Linked DNA regions of Sus scrofa. The protein of the gene in region 2 interacts with the protein of the main gene of each other region in a biochemical or structural test. Links are inferred from orthologs where the notes say so. Each region holds a gene or a part of one and is shown on either strand. Other genes may lie near its edges.

Region 1 (4,114 bases), on a different chromosome or scaffold from region 2:
CACAGGTTCAATTCCCAGCTTTGCCACTTATAACCTTGGAAAATGACCTTCCAATAGTCCATGCCTTCTAGAGGATCCTGAGAGATGATGCAGGTCTCTAGCACCTTACTATATACCTAGCACATAGTATGCGCTCAATAAATATTAGGTCATAGGAACAGGAGTTATTGTGGATGGACATGCTGCATGACAGGAAATATGCCAGAGGGACCTCACATTCCCATGTACAGAGGACAGACGGATGGTCGAGGTCAAAGGGCACACTGTCCAGATTGGCAGTCCTACCATCCCGAGCCGGGGGTGACCGTAAATCCATACTGGGTGAGCCAGGGGTGACCGGAAATCCATACCGGGTTTTCCATCTGTCTTTGCAGAACCAGCTTGAATGAGCCGCCACTTGGACCAGGCCAGCCTGGCCAAGCGACTGCAGTGACCCAATCAAAACTAAGACCTGGATTTTTCGGCCACAGAACACTGTACTCCAGACTGGGGTACACTGGCCTACGAAGGTGAACCCCAGAGAAAACTTTAAATCCCACCTAGAAAAGTCCTCGAATCTAGCCCCATTTCCTAGTGTCCCTAAACATTCTAGGGTCGAAGATTTAGATCCTTGACTTGAGTGTAAACAGCCGCCACCTCCACCCCGAGCTGCAGAGCCACTGTGCCAGGCGCATTCTACAAATCCCCGGATGAATGGATGGCTCTGCAGATGAGACTTTCGAAATTAGGTTGGTGTACTATCCCACCCGCACAGAGGGAATCCTCGGGCGCTCCGCAGTTGTGGGACAGCTCCTACGGGGTTGCACAAGGTGTGCGAGTGTATCCAGGCAGCGAAGTGGTTAACCCTACCAGAGGAAGAGGTTTGGGCAGGACTTTGGCGGGATAGCTCTGCCTGGAAGCCTGGGGAAGGACTTAGGGGTGAGTGGGAGGATCCCGGGCTGGGGGCGGGGTCTTGCGCGGGAGAACGAAGTCCCGCGTGGCACTGAGCCAATGGGAGTCGGCGCGGGGTGGGGAGGAGGGGTCGGCGACACACCCCATGTAGGCTCCGCCCCTTTCCGCCCTTTTCTGGGACCCGAAGGCGCGGACCCAATCTGTCTGCTTCAGATTTGCTTTGGGTTTGTGGCAGCTCCCTTTTATCAGAACCCATTCTCCTAACTCAGCCCCAGAATGGGGAGGCAGTACGAGGAAGACATGAAGAGCCCATCTGGACTCTGGTTAAAACTCAGGTCTGGCTCCAGCATCATCTAGACGCCTGGGAAGTCCTTCCTACAGTCTCAAATGGCCTCGTCCATTTTTGGTGAGGGTTTGAATCCTCTCCTTCTCTTCCCAAGCTCCAGGCTAGGGATGTATCCTGAGACTGGGCCCACTGTAGGCTTCCTTCCTTCCTTTCTTTCTTTCTTTCTTTCTTTCTTTCTTTCTTTCTTTCTTTCTTTCTTTCTTTCTTTCTTTCTTTCTTTCTTTCTTTCTTTCTTTCTTTGTCTTTTTGGGGCTGTCCCGCGGCATATAGACGTTCCCAGGCTAGGGGTAGAATCACAGCTGTAGTCGCTGGCCTATGCCACAGCCATAGCACAGCAATATCAGATCCGAACTGGATCTACAACCTACACTCACAACTCACAGCACCGCCGGATCCTTAACCCACTGAGAGAGGCCAGGGATCAAACCCACCTCCTCATGGATATTAGATTCGTTTCCACTGAGCCACAATGGGAACTTCCCACTGTAGGCTTTATACAAACTCCTCCAGATTACCTAGCTTGGGACTGGGCTTCAAGGAGGCTCAGAAGAACTAGATGCCAGATAGGATGAAGTTTTGATCAATTTTTCCTCTCTGGGGTCAGTCTGGGGGCAACACCGATTCCCTGAATTAACTCTTAGAAGTGCATGATGCAAACCAAAGAGAACCCTTCCCAGTTTCAGAATCTCCACCCATCCAGGAAATAAGAGTTCCTGACACCTGGATTTGTCCTCACCTTCCCCATGCTCCACAACAAACCTCAGTGTCCCACTCTGAACAGTGGACCCATGCCTCCCGCGCCTGCGCAGCCTGGAGACCAACATTTTCTAAGGCTGTAAGAAGCTAAAAATCGCTCCCGCCCACCCACAAGCTGGGCTGGACTTGAGGATCGCAGAGTGGGGGCGGAGAGGGACAGTGTTGTAGTGGAGGGGGGTGGAATGAAGAGTGTGGAGGGAGGCTGCCTAGGTGCCTGTCCAATTAGGGCAGTAGGAAGAATCCTGGTAGCTGAGTAGGTGCATGGAGGTCGCAGAGGTCCCCATGCCTCAGAAAGAGATTCCTGGGCTGGTGAAGGGGCCAGGCTGCGGCACAAACATGTTTACCGCTGCTGCGGCGCCGGCAGCCCCGAGGGGCGCGAGCCCTGGGGCAATAACTTTGCTCTGCTCCCCCTTACCTCCGGCCTGGCAGGGCTCCTGGGCAAAGACCTCGACCCAAGTCCCCTCCACCTCTGACGGGCCAGGCTCCCCTCGAGCTATACTCGAAGGGGAACGCTAGGCTGCATCCCCTCCATCAGATCCCTGGTTCTCCGGGCGGCGCCTGAGGGGCGGGGTCCTAGCGCGGCTGGACGCGCAGCCACCGCGTTCCCCCAGGTTGCGTCCAGAGGCCGTGGGAGTGGGCGCCTGGGCCGACACTGGCTTAAGTTCTCCCGCCTCCTGCGGGCCCCGCCCCAGGACGCCGACCCCATCCCTTCCACCCAGGGCCGGCGCCGCCGCGTACCTGCAGCCTCCGGCGACGAATCAGGCCCGAATCGTCCATGGCGGCGGCGGCGGCTCCGGCCCCGGGGAGGGAGGTGGGAGGCGGCGGCAGCGGCGGCGGCGGGAGGAGGGAGGCGGGAGGGAGTGAGAAGTCGCGGGGACCTCGTCCGCGGCTGGGGGGCGGGGAGGAGGTGGCGGGGGCGGAGCGAAGTGGGGCGGACCCGGCGCCGTCACTGCGTCTGGGCGCCCGAGCCGGGCCTTGGCCCAGGCTACCCGCGCTGAGGAGGAGGGGGCAGACTGGAGGAGGAGCCTTACAGATGCCCCCAGAGAAGCCAAGCTACCAGGAGACCCGTGTAAGGGTAGACACGCCAGGAGAGAGTGATGCTTATGGGTAAACTAACCCAAGAAAACGCCAAGGGAGACATTCTCACTAGATATATTCCCTATGCAGAACCCCCCTCTCCCGTGACCCCCTTCAGGGAAACACATCCAGTGGGGAAATCATCTCCAGAGAGAGGCCCTCGCCAGTCAGGAACTCTCCTCTCACCCTGAAAATCATTTCTAAAACAAGTGGTCTGTAAGAAATGATGCTTCCTCTCAACAGCCCATGCTCCAAAGAAGACATTTCCGCAGAGAAAGATCCCCATAGGTGGTATTTCGCTTGGGGAGCCTGTTGAGAGTACGCCCGATGACAATAAAAGACCCTGTAAAAGCCATCTCCTCTATGGGAAATTGTCCCCACCCGTGAGACCCCACATCCCAAGAAGATACATTTACAGTGACTTTTTTTTTTTTTTTTTTTTTAGGGCCGCACCTGTGACATATGGAAGGTCGCAGACTAGGGTAGAATCGGAGATGCAGCTGCCAGCCTATACCACAACTACATCAACACCAGATCTGAGCCGCATCTGTGACCTAAACCGCAGCTCATGGCAACGCCAGAGTCTTAAACCACTGAGCGAGACCAGGGATCGAACCCGCGTCTTCATGGATATTAGTCGGGTTTGTAACCCGCTGAGCCACAACAGGAACTCCCTACCATGACATTTATATGAGGAGACCGGTCGTCACCGGAGATGCCCCCTAAGAAAAACATATACCACCCCGCTTCGCAAGCAGAGCCTCCTCGGGGAGTCCTGCCGCTCCCGTAGCGATCCCCTCCCTCATTGTCAGGATTAAGATGCCAGGCAAGGCTGAGCTGTATTTATAGGAACGATTAGCTGGTAGTTGGGGAGGGGGGCATCCGAAGAGTTTCCACCACTTGCCCTCAGTGTTCCTACAGCTGAGGCCAAGCCAACCGTGCTTCCCAGAATTGGAGTGGAAACCGTCGGAGCCCTCCCCACTCCAATCTAGGCATTGGAGGGCATGGCGGGGGGGGGGCTTCCCAAAAGTCTAGGCCCTTAAC
Region 2 (3,987 bases):
ATGGCAGGAGCAGGCAGCGTCCGGGGCTGCTGCGGAGGTGGTCAGGCCCAAGGCGGATGTGCAGGGTGAAGGCGGGGGCTGGGCCCAGCCCAGGGCCGCCAATCACTCAGGGCCTGTGGTTTCCTAGCTCTCTTACCACGTTCCCTTCCTCTCTCCCCCCCCACCTCCCCATTGCCTGAGGGCTGCCCTCTGGCCCTCCCCCTGCCATCCTCCCTGTGGGCCTGCAGAGGGAAAGCCCCATGCCAACCCAGCTGCTGAGTTGATAGGTACCCAACTGGCAGGGGCAGGCACCCACCGAGTGAAGGCAGTTGAAGGCAGACAGGTGGGAGAGTACACGTGCCCATCAGACAGGGATGGGGAGAAGCCAAAGGACAGAGGCAGAAGAACACACATTCAATGGGCAGAGACAGATGGGGACATGTTCCCAATAAGCGGAGGCAGGAAGGGACTCACACCCAACAGGCAGAAGTGGACAGACCTGTACCCAACACGCAAAGGCAGACGGGGACACAGACCTAACACGCAAAGATAGATGCGGACGTGTACCCAACAGGCAGAGACAGATGGGGATCCAACAGGCAGAGGCAGATGGGGGCTTGTATCCAACAGGTGGAGACAGATGGGGACATGGACTCGACAGGCCAAGACAGAAGGGGACACGACCCAACAGGCACCCAGCACGTGACATGTACCCAACAGGTGAAGACAGGCACTCGTGAAGTGGACACAGAGCCAGGAAGCCAATAGAGGCAGGTGAGCAGCAGACAGAGGCAGCTGGCATCAGCAAGGCCCAAGGGACGGACAGATAACCAGGGCAGACACACAGGCAGGAAAGACACACAGATTCCCAGTCAGACTCTGGCCTTAAGGGCGGAGCTCCGGGTTCTTGCTGGTCTGTCTGGGGCAGGAGGGGACATCACCCGCCAGGCCCCAGCCCTTGGGAGAGCAGTCTGGTACTTGTGGCAGACCCATCCCTGCTTAATTCCATTTCTTTGGGGTTTCCTTCCCATGCCAGGGTCTGAGGGGGGCCCAGGCCTAAGTTGCTGGACTGAGGGGGAACATCTCCTGCGTGCAATCTGATGGCTTTGACTCCATCCAAATATCCCAGCGTTGTCATCCCCCATTTCAGGAACAGGAAACTGAGGCTCACAAGGCAGTGACTCACCCATGCCCAAAGTGAACGGGTGGCAGAGACGGCTCGAACCCAAGTTCTTCCCCTGGTTACCACTTGGCCTGCGGTCAACAGGCCTCAAGTGCCAGGAAAGGGTGGGCAGGTAAGTCAGCCAGAGCCACGACCTGCCCTTCCTAGCCCGCCCCCTCCCTCAACCAGGGAGTCTGGGGACTTCCCATTCGAGATCTTGACCCTCGGAGACACAGTCCCATCATCAGGGGACCTGACCGGTCACAAAAGCTGCAGGCACAGAAAGCTGCAGGCTCAATAGGCCCCGGAGTGTAACCCAGTGGGTGGGACAGGCGGAAAGCTTGGCTCAGAGAGGGGCTGGGGGTGGGGGGCAAAGCCGCACAGCAACCCCTGCCCACCCCGCCCTGAGGGCTGAGCTTCCACCTGTCTGTCTGCCTCTGACTGAGAACACTCCCTGGGGACAGAGGCAGTCACCCGGAACCCCCAGGGGACAGAGCCACCCCCAAGCCCATTCCCTGCCCAGAGTCATGGTGACAGACACGACTGGAGGCAGGCCAACCCTCCGCTCACCTTTCTGGGATAGGGGAGTGAGTCTCTCTCACCCCAGGGGAAATCTGCCGGGGTCTGCATGGTGGGGCCCAGGCCGGTGGCAGAGGGCCCAGCTACTCCCCTCACTTCTGCTTTTTCAGCTTTCCTGGCCCAGAAGGCAGGGTCCCTGACCCCTTCCCTCTCACTTCCCCCTCTGCGGGGAGGAGGGACAGAAGATGGGTTAAGCTGCCCTGCTGTGGAGGGGACACTGCGGACCCCAAGACCGTGACTCCCAGGGGTGGGGGCCCAGAGAGACACCCCATCCCTCGTCTCCCCTGATCCTAAGGCAGGGGGACTGGAACATATTCTGATGTCCCAAGGCAACGGGGTGGTGACCGAGTGGCGCCCCACCCCCACAAACATCCTCTGGAGAGATGGGGGGCAGAAGTCAACAAGGCCACCATCTCTGACTGTCCCTGCTCAGAGCACGGGCACTCCTCCTCCTGTAGTGACCCTCCCACGGCTGGGCCCACCCCAACGGCAGCCTGCCGGGCAGGCCCCACCACACCCAGCCCTGCCCAAAGCAGCCTGCCAGCCCAGGGCCCCGGGACAGGCGAGGGGGCAGAGGCCCCCGCACAGACGTCACAGAGGCCTGAGGAGGAAGAGCAGGTAGCCGTGGGGCAGGGGGTGACCAGGCCCAGGCCTTTGCCACATGGCCTCCCCACATCAGTCACACCAGTACCACAGGAACTGACACACACACAGATACCCACAGTCCGATGATCGGAAACCATTTCCACAGACGTCCCCTATGTGGAAACACACCCCCACGCACAGCGAACTTCCCCTTCCAGCCTCACAGGGCCTCCACTAACTGTCTGACGATGGCCTGCTGGGTGTTGTGAAAGAGGCTTCCTGAGACCGAGGCCTCTCATACTCCAGCTTTGTCTGGAGGCTGGGGTGGTGCTGGCACCCCTAAAATTCCCAGCAGCCCCCCTGCCCCCCTTAGAAGCAAAGGAAGACTCTCCAGGGCTAGCAGGGAACAGCAAGGGGCAACAGGAAGGAAGCCCCCTTGGACCTGCCTTTGCCAAAGGGTATGTGCAGGGCCTGTGAGGCCTCTGGTGGCAGGAGTAGGGAGGACAGCACCAGGCCGCACCCCCTTGGTCCCTGCCCCACTCCCCCTACAGACACTTCCTCTTATTTACTTCCGCCCACAAGGCAGCTGGACAGAAGCCCAGAGCCCCTCAGCCTGATCCCTGGCCCCTAGGGTCCCCACCCCGGGCCTCCCTCCAGCAGCTGCAGCCCAAGCCCACCTGCTAATCTCTGGCCCTAACGGACACCAACAGCCCCTCCCCGAGATGCCCCCTCCCGTGGGACAGGTGTCCCCAGATGCATCACCCATCATGCTTCTGGGTGGGTGAGGGGTCCTTAGTTCCCAGGCATCTTTGATGGAGGAGCGATTAGCATGGAGTGATAATGAGAAGTGTGCCTGTTAACTGAGCATTCATTGCATGAAGCCATTCCTTCCTTTTGCTGGTGTGGATTCTGCCAGGCCCTGTGTACTAGCTCCAAGGGAAATACTCTCATCCCATTTCAGAGATGGGGAAACTAAATTCAGAGAGAAAGTGATTTGCTCAAGGCCACATGGCTAGAAAGGCAGAGAGCTCAGAGCAAGATCAATCTGTTTGCTTCCAAAGCCTACACTAAGCATTTCCCTATCCACACCGCTCCCCCCCACCCCCAACAAGGCCTGCCAGCCTGGCTCCCTGCTGGGCATCACTCACAGCTATTGGTCCCTTGCTCTGTCCCCAGGGGAGCCAAACACTAGGAGGCACACATGTTAAGGCAGATTGGACTCTCCAAAATAAATACACAATGACAAAACCCAACTGTCCTGTGACAGAGCTACAGTCGAGGTGCTGGAGGTGTGCAGAGACTGTACCTATCCGCCCAACGGGAGGCCCAAGAAGGCAGGGTCGTCCGGCTGGGCCCTGAAGGTGAACAGGAGTGGGCCAAGCAGAGAGGAGGAAATACACTCCACGGAGAGAGAGAGACCAGCATGGAAAAGAGGCTTGAGGGAAGTCCCCGTTGTGGCTCAGAGGGTTACGAACCCGACTGGTTTCCATAAGGATGAGGGTTCTATCCCTGGCCTCGTTCAGAGGGTTAAGGATCCAGTGCTATGGTGAGCTATGGTGTAGGTTGCAGATGCAGCTTGGATCCCTTGTTGCTGTGGCTGTGGTGTAGGCCGGCAGCTCCTGCTCCAATTCATCCCCTAGCCTGGGACCTTCCATATGCTGCAGGTGCAGCCCTAAAAAGAA
Region 3 (4,195 bases), on a different chromosome or scaffold from region 2:
TAGACAACTAGAAATTACAAAAAAAAAAAAAAAAAAATACTTTCCTATCTAACATCACTAAAACCTACAGAATCCCAAATACTTCATAATCACTACCATATTTATCTACAGGCAATAATTTAAAATAAATGCATAAATATGCACTTAATTTTCTGAAATTCTTGTCTCTTAAAGTGAGGTACTGTTTACTGCCATGAGCTCACTACCAAAATCTCTAAAATACCTGAGTTTTAGACATTTACCAATGATACACATCAAATGTCTCTAACTGTAGTTATTGCTTCATGAAGAAAAAACAAGCAATAAAAAATTGGTTCCCATATTGGAACCTCTGTAAGCTTTTTATACATGAAAAGTTGGCAATAATTTGTTCACAAACAGTAGGGAAACTTCATAATATCTGAATTAATTAGTTGAAAGATTAAGTTTATCACTTTTGAAAACTCCCAGTACCTTTAACAAACAGGGCCATCAAGTGCGCATTTTCTACAAACACCTTGGAAGTACTCCAGATTTGTGAATTTAATCTAAAAAACCCACAGAATACTAAGAAAAATATCCAAAATTTGAAGCCATTTTAAAATATTTTTATGACCATTTTTTAAACTTATTTTCAAACCACTGTCAAATTTTAAACAAAACTTTGAAAAATATTTACAGTTTGACAACAGTATAAAACCTAAAATTCATTAAGTTAATCCAGTGCTAAACTAATAAAATAAATAAACCTCAAAGTAAATTTTGCCTTGTTGAGGGGAAAAAGGAATCAAAGACAACTACAAAGGTGAACATCTTTTAAAACATGTTGTCTGCATCTATACATACTATGCTCCCTCAAGAAAAAAAATCAAGAGCTATATCTAACAACAGGCATTTAAATAGGTATTTTTGAGGACTATAATACTTCTTTCAAGTAAAATTTCCTAACACAGAGAAAGGAACACTTTCGCAAAGTGATAATTCTCTATAAAAGACTTGCTCTATTAAGGCTTTGTTGCTCTGAAGCCAAGTATAAACCATATAAGGAAACCGAAGTTCAATGCCATTTATTTTGTTCCCCTCTTTCAGATGCCCAAGAATAACCTCTTTCGTTGCCTAATTTTAAGTTCTAAAATCATAAAGTAGATCACTTACATACTTTAAATTATTTGATAAAGCTACTTTCACTTAATAGGAATTACTTGATGGTTCACAAAATCTTACCAACAATTTAAAAAACTACAAAATTGTTTTTAAAAAGGAGCTCCAGAGACTAAGCTCCAAGAAAAAAAAAAATCAAAACAATATATAGTAATAGTTAAAAGACCCCCTTTTTGAAACATACTTAATTTGAAGTAACAAAGAAAAAGTTGTGAAATTATTTGAACCTACTGTTTAAAACCTACCTTGTCTCTTTTTGGAACTAAAGAAAGCCAACCATTTTTCTTGTGGTGGCAAGGGCAAATAAATATTAATTTACATTTAAGATATATCTACAAACAAAATACCACGTTTATTTGACATTTATTCAAGAGCAGAGTTTATCTTTTACCTCCCTTTACCAAAAAAGCACGGGGGGGGGGGAACCAAACTTAAAAAGACACTCATTAAAAACACCACAGAAGAAACCGTCTGTGTCTGCAGCAACCAAAACTAGTTTGATCTATAAAGACTACCGACTGGTTCAGAAGTGTTTATATTTATAACTGACTGGTGGAATGTCACCGTGCTTCACTTAATCCCTGCCCCCACAGCAGATACTCATCACTTATTAGGTGGCAGACCCGGTCAAAACATTTGGGCCAACAACAACAAAAAAATGTAAATAATGTGCTAACCAAAAAGCACAGCTATTTATCACAATCACTGTGATGCCCATGAACACTGTTTTAAGCGTTTTACTTCCTTTCCTATACATTCAGTTCCGAATTGCACAGAAGTCCTAACAAATCAAACCACTTACAGGCATTCATGTTTGCTTTTTAATCATCACTCTTTAGCCGTAACACTTTTTCTCCCTACTAGGTCAGTTACAAGAAAAATCTTGTAGACAGTAGCTTGTAGACAACACCAAACAAGTATTATAAAGTTATAAATGTCCGAAAAGAACAAGTTACTGAAGACATATATATTACCCACCTGAAAAAACGACTAAGAACGGCAAAGAGTTTTTTGTTTATAAAACCCAATGAAACACAGTCATAAGAGTTGGAACTAAATAACTCCATATACATTTAAATGCAAAAGCAAAATAATCGGTAACAGTATAAACAAATACTGTGGCAGCCATCTCAACAGCAGCCGATTGCTCGCCGCAGTGACCTAACTTTCATCCAAAACAAAAGTTGTCAGGTTCAGCAACTTAATAAATCAAAAACATACATTGTATATGTTCCGGGAAACTAAGATTTCTGGACCTTCTGCTGAACAAAGGCATTCTTTCCTCGGAATTGCTTAAAACTTTTCGTCCCACCGCATTCTTACAACCTCTTCTAAAATGACCAGGGTCCAGATGGTAGAAAGGAGAATAAAATCAGTTCTACTGCTTTGCACCTAAATCACTACCCCGTCCGACAGGAGAGAGGGAGAATTTAGGGCAACTTGAGAAAAAGTGGAAAACACTAAAGTTTCCTCTCTTTCCTGGCCGGGGAGCTTTGTGACTCGCAGACACTTTGGGTGAAAATTACCTTTCGGTCGGGCAGTGTCTCAGGACAGCTTTTTCAAGGCTTCGCCTGACATGATTTCCTCCCCTTCATTAGTCACTTCGGATCCAGCCGAATTTCTCTCTCCGGTGAGAGCGGATGTGGAGTGGCCTCCCGCAGTAGGAAGAGTAGGTGGCTCCGGTGGGGGTTGGGAAGCGGGCTGGCTTCCTGGTCTCGAGTTTTGCAGGAGTTTCCCAGCCCCAACTAGGATCTCCGTCGAAAAAAAAACTTTTCACTCGTGACACCGCCCGGAATTACCGTGCGAAACTCACTTCCTGCCTTGGCGAGCAGCAGGATCCAGCTCGGTCCAGGGGAACCCGGAAAACCAGCTCCACGCGCGTCGGGCGGGGGAGGGCAGGGGGCGTCAGCCGAGAGCCTGGGACTCCGGGCGACCCGCGCGCCCCGATATCCGACGGCAGGCGAACCTGGCCCGCGGGGGCAAAGATGCCACCGGGGCGCTGGGAGAGCCTCTGCCGCGCTAGGCCGCCGCCGCCTCCTCGCCGCCACCCCCGGAGCCGGGCGGCGGGGTTATTGTCTCGGTAGCGCCTGCCGCGCCCTTCGCCCGCGCGGCCGCAGCCGCGGCCGCCCGGAGCCCGAGCCGAGGGGCCGGGCAGGCTCGATGGCGGCCCCCTCCCCCGGCCGGCCGTCGGGCTGTCCGTCCTTCCGTACGTCCCTCCCCGCCTTCCTTCCCTGCCCTCGAGCCCTCTTCTCCTCCCCCTCCTGTTTTCCCGCCACCGTCCCCTCGCTCCCCTCCTCGTTCTTCTTCCCTGGCGGCGGTGGCTCCCCCGGGAAGCGCAGGGGGTGGGGGCAGGCGGCGGCTTCGTCTCCTCACAAGCTCGCGGGGCCGCGGCAGGGGCCGAGACTGCGTCCCGCGCCGCCGCGCCACATTCACTCGAGCGAGAGACTGCGAGGGGCGGGGAGGGGAGGGGAGGGGAGGGGAGGGAGGGAGCGGAGAGAAAGGAGGAGGAAGGGGGCTGGGGCGGAGGGGAGTTACTGCCTCACAGGCCGCGGAGGCAACAGCGCCACCGCCCCGGCGGCGAGGGGGGAAGAGGCTGCGCGCGGCGGCGGCTCCGCGGCGGGGGCGGGGCGGCCTCCCGCCCGCTTCGCCCCAACCTCCAACAGCCGGGCTGGAGGCCGGCGCGAGCCAGTCACCGCGCGCGGGGGCGGTGCGGGCCGACGTCGGTGGCGGCGGGGGGCGGCGGCGGCAGCGGGGGGTGATAGTCTTGGGGGCCCGGGAGGCGGGGCCGGCGGCCGGGGGTTCGCGAGCTAGGTCCGGCGTGAGGCCAGCTCTGGCCCAGGCCCGGGAGGCCTGCGTGCTGCTCCCCAGCCGCCCAAGGTGGGGATGCGGGCGAAGTCGATCCCGGCTGCCCTGCGCCCAGCCTGGAAGAAGAGAGTCCTTGGAGTTTCCGTCGTGGCGCAGTGGTTAACGAATCCGACTAGGAACCATGAGGTTGCGGGTTCGGTCCCTGCCTTGCTCAGTGGGTTAACGATCCGGCGTTGCCGTGAGCTGTGGT
Region 4 (4,144 bases), on a different chromosome or scaffold from region 2:
TTAGGAATACCATTTAATATTAGTTAAGCCTTGTTTTGATTACAATGCTATTTAAAATGAAACTATGAGAGAGGAATATTTTGGGAGGGAAAAATATCACTTGCCACTTATTAAATTGAGATTTTTAAAAGCCGAAGAAGAGAGGGAGGATTTATAAGTTACAGGAGACCTTTAAATGTCATATTCACTAATATATAAATGTAAACACAGAAAAATGTTATGTCTGGTAATAATAGTAAACTGATCAATACCATTACATTATGGGAATCTGTGATATTATAAATTATGCTTTCAGTCCAGAATATCAATAGCTTTTTAACATCTTTTAAAATCAAATTACAATGCATTAAATATGATAGAGTTAGTTCCCCATATGTTATTTACAAACTTATATAGCTGACTTCTATTACTTGGACAGCTCCAGGTACTAAACTTCTAAATACAGAAGGTTTTAGAAATAAATTTTTTTAATAATGATTAAAAAATAAGTTTATCATCTCAGTAAAATAACCCTTCAATGAGATCTATTTTAATAATTTGTCTAGAATAATGCTGCTACTTTTAACCTTAGCTTACTTTCAGAAGTTAGGGAAATATGATTTCAAAGACAACTTGAAACTAGTTGTGTAATTCTCAGTTTTTAACTGAATTATACAATATAAACAGCACATGCTACTGTAACAATGGAAAAAAAAACTTTTGAATGGATACTCAGTTTTATTAGCCACTTTGATATTTTTTCACTTTTTGCCTCAATTCCATTAGTAAACCATCCAGCTTTGGAGATGATATTTAATATATTAACAGGCCATTCATTATGCTCTTCTCCAACTCTTGACTGTTCAGAGCAGCTCACACATGTATTCATCCAGACAATTTTTTCCTGTATAATAACTCTTAGTGGAGGCACAGAAAGTGCAAAGATTTTCTTGGATGCCTCAACTGCATATTTAGAAGAAACAAAATTGCTTTTATGCCTTGGGTAACCTAGAAGACATTAAAAGAAATTACCTCTTCCTATCATTAAATTGCCCAACGCATTAATTCTGCAGTTCCCACAGCACGAGAACAAACATTAAGAGAACAAATGGCCTCTAAGGCAAGAGTTTATGACTTGTCCTGTTTGAGGAGGATTTGGGGCAAACAAGATGTCCCAACTAAGGATTCAGAAAATGGAAAGATGCTCTTGAATGCCTCCAGTTAAAGGTGCCATCGAAGAAGACGGAGAGGCCCAGCCTGTTAGCCAAACACCTGTGTTCCAGAGTCCAGCTAGGTCTTCTGAACATGCACTGCAGATTAAACACTCTTCCAGAGCTTCACTTAATTTTCTTTTGTTCCTGACTTCAGGAACAGAGCTGGGGAATAGTCTTGGTCCTCATTTCAAAAGTCACTCCAGACCTGACACAGTCTACACATGTCCACAGAATGTGTGATGTTAAAGTAAAACCAGCAAAGTGTAGACCGGTTGGTGTAAAGCAAACAGCATCCTTCCATCTGACATCCTGCATAATCATTATGGGAGGGCAGCCCAGGAGGCTGAAATTCCAAGGGCCCAATCAGTTACAACTTCTGAGTGTCTGTTACTTGAACCAATCAACTTTCTAGCCCAAGGAGTAGAAGCGGAGCAGGCCTCTGGGCAGGTCAAAAATCACGCCTGAGGTGAGCAGCACCTTCAACCTTTCCCTAGAGATCTGTTCACTCAAACAACTTCTAAAGCAGTCAATGCTTCACAAATTCCAGGGGCCATTCCAATCACCTGGAAGCTTGTTGAAAAGCAGATTCTGAGGCCATGAGTTTGGACTAGGGCACCAGAGGGTGCATTTCTAACGAACCCTCCAGTGATTCTGATGCTGCGGTTCTTCCCACCATCCACGGAGAAGCAAGGCCCACAGTCGCCCATAGATACTCAGGTCACTCATATTAGCAACATACAAAAGTTGAGGCCACAGGTCTCGACAAATCAAGCACCCGGGCGCTCTGCGTCCCCAGGGCTTCCCACCCTGTCCTGGGGCACCTGGCAGGTGCCAGGGCCGCGGAGCGCTCCCAGGTGACCCGCCCGTGGCCGCGCCCCTCCTCCGCCCCGCCCGCGCGCCCCCAGCGCCGCGCCCACCTTCTCCCGGGTCTTCAGGTATCGCTGCAGCGCCTGCTGCGTGAGCTCCCGGACGTGCAGCTGGCCCTCCTTGCAGGGCACCACGATGCCGGTCTTACCGAAGCACACGGTCACTTTCATCCTGGTCTGCAGGCGACCACGCCGGGCCGGCCGAACAGGTGTCTAGGCCGGCGGACACAGCCCTCACTTTCCGGGGGCGCCCTGCGAGGGCGGGCACGGAGACCCGGGCGCCTCTCCCCAGCGCCCCTAAGGGCCGGGAACTCAGAGCAGCGCCCTTTCGCCGCGGACTGGCGGCCGCCGGCGGGCGGGAATCAGGGAGAAGGCAGCAGCGGGAAGGGCTACCTCCCAGGTGGCGGGGGCTCGGGGACCCGGCGGTCCCGGGACCGGGATGCCCCTCTTGCTCTTGCTCCGGCCCGGCCCAGGCAGCTGCTCAGCGCCCGCCAAAGCGAAACTGCCGGCCCAGCCTGGCCCTCGCCCTGGCCCTGGTGGCGGCAGCGGCGGCAGCCGGGCGGCCGGCCCCAGGCCCCGGGCTAGAGTGGGCGGCGGCGGCGGCGCGCGGGGCCGGAGTTGGGAGGAAAGTTTTGCGCCGGATCCCAACTCCTCCGCGGCGCGCGGCGCTCTAGGCTCCTGCGGCCCTGGGGCCGGCCTGGGCCCGGCTCTTAAAGGGGCCGCGGCGCTCCCCGGCCCTGCCGTGCACTCAGTGGCGCGGGGCGGGGGCCGTGCGGGGCGGTAACTGGAGCCCGGAGACTCGTCCCCTCCCTCAGTCTCTCCCTGGCTCTGTCCCTCCCGCTCACACATGGAGTTCTAGGGAATTGTAACGGGACCTCAGAACTCCCCACCGGGGGATTGAAACCGGATCTCATAAAGTACACTCGAGGGAATAGCTGGGAGCTGCAGAGCTACACCCTTAAAACGAGGGGATTGGAGCAAGATTCGAGAAGAGCCGGGGAGCAGGTGCTTCTCGCCACGCCCACAAATACTCCCCAAGGCTGAAGGCTCACAGGTACTGAACTGCAGGGTTGGCCCCAAGGGCCTATTAGGAACTTGGTCCTAAGGACAGCTTCTCGCCTGCTCTCTGAAGCCCTGAGACAGAAAAACTGAAGGGATTCTTGGAGACAACGTGGGATTGGAACCGTTAAGGATGAGAACGCTCAGTATTCCCCCAAAGGTTACATTCAGACCCAGATATGACTGCATGTGTTCACATATATCCTTCTGAAATGTGCTTCCTGTTGTTTGTTTAACTAGAAAAAAAAATTAACACGTTTAGGTTCATGATTTCGGCAGGTGTGTATCCATCATCAAATGAAATTGGCATATCTTGGGGGGGGTGTCAAAAATAGCATTTGTACCATTCTTAGCTCACACATCAGTGAGCTTCTTTGAGCCTAATAACAAGTTTGTAAAGTAGGAATTACATTTCTCATATTATCGTGAAAGAACAGTACCCAGGGAAGTTAAGGGAATGAACTGACCATGGAATTAGTTATGCTAAGAGGAACTTCATTCTTCCAAACCTCTCCCACACCGTTTTCTTACAAGTTCCTCTAGGCTACATCATGCATTTCTCTAAATTAAAAAAAAAAAAAAAAATTTCCTATGTCAAGATGCACTTAAATTGAACTTGACGTGCCTATGACAGTAAAACAAAGCACAGGAGATTAAATTAACAAACTCATGGGTTTTGAGAGGTTATATTTGTTAATTCATACATGTCATATATATATATAATATGGTATGTACAGGGCCTTTTATCAGGTCAATGGCATCAAAGAGGATCATGCAGACTAAGTTGATTTGAGGAAGACATATATTAGTATTATTCTGGTCACTAATCCAATGCAAACTAACTTAAATAAACTGAAGACAGGATCTATTTTCTTATAAAATCAGAAGAGCCAAAGAGTGTTCCTTTAAGGCAGATTGAATCCAGAAACCCAAACAATGTCCTTAGAGGCTATTTCTTTCCATCTCTTGGCTCTGTGTCCCTCTGTTGCCACCATTCTCAGGCTCTCCCCAAAGGGGGCAAAGATG

What was found.
Region 1: the proteins of RPS6KA1 (region 2) and MAST1 interact in a test that uses a peptide from one of them, tested with the Homo sapiens proteins (2 studies listed by BioGRID and IntAct, with this or other methods). The link is inferred for Sus scrofa from reciprocal best matches to the Homo sapiens genes RPS6KA1 and MAST1.
Region 3: the proteins of RPS6KA1 (region 2) and ERBIN interact in a test that uses a peptide from one of them, tested with the Homo sapiens proteins (2 studies listed by BioGRID and IntAct). The link is inferred for Sus scrofa from reciprocal best matches to the Homo sapiens genes RPS6KA1 and ERBIN.
Region 4: the proteins of RPS6KA1 (region 2) and PARD3B interact in a test that uses a peptide from one of them, tested with the Homo sapiens proteins (2 studies listed by BioGRID and IntAct, with this or other methods). The link is inferred for Sus scrofa from reciprocal best matches to the Homo sapiens genes RPS6KA1 and PARD3B.

Annotation. Positions count from the first base shown.
Region 1 is NC_010444.4:66,181,486-66,185,599, forward strand, and holds the start of MAST1 (microtubule-associated serine/threonine-protein kinase 1), read right to left. Parts: upstream 2,805-4,114; 5' UTR 2,771-2,804; coding exon of another isoform or gene 2,732-2,770; intron 1-2,731. UniProt on the Homo sapiens protein: Microtubule-associated protein essential for correct brain development. Appears to link the dystrophin/utrophin network with microtubule filaments via the syntrophins. Phosphorylation of DMD or UTRN may modulate their affinities for associated proteins.
Region 2 is NC_010448.4:83,915,978-83,919,964, reverse strand, and holds the start of RPS6KA1 (ribosomal protein S6 kinase alpha-1), read right to left. Parts: upstream 2,809-3,987; 5' UTR 2,093-2,808; coding exon 1,712-2,092; intron 146-1,711; exon of another isoform or gene 1-145. UniProt on the Homo sapiens protein: Serine/threonine-protein kinase that acts downstream of ERK (MAPK1/ERK2 and MAPK3/ERK1) signaling and mediates mitogenic and stress-induced activation of the transcription factors CREB1, ETV1/ER81 and NR4A1/NUR77, regulates translation through RPS6 and EIF4B phosphorylation, and mediates cellular proliferation, survival, and differentiation by modulating mTOR signaling and repressing pro-apoptotic function of BAD and DAPK1.
Region 3 is NC_010458.4:44,414,598-44,418,792, reverse strand, and holds the start of ERBIN (erbin), read right to left. Parts: upstream 2,805-4,195; 5' UTR 2,667-2,804; intron 1-2,666. UniProt on the Homo sapiens protein: Acts as an adapter for the receptor ERBB2, in epithelia. By binding the unphosphorylated 'Tyr-1248' of receptor ERBB2, it may contribute to stabilize this unphosphorylated state.
Region 4 is NC_010457.5:107,881,117-107,885,260, reverse strand, and holds the start of PARD3B (partitioning defective 3 homolog B), read right to left. Parts: upstream 2,805-4,144; 5' UTR 2,231-2,804; coding exon 2,111-2,230; intron 1-2,110. UniProt on the Homo sapiens protein: Putative adapter protein involved in asymmetrical cell division and cell polarization processes. May play a role in the formation of epithelial tight junctions.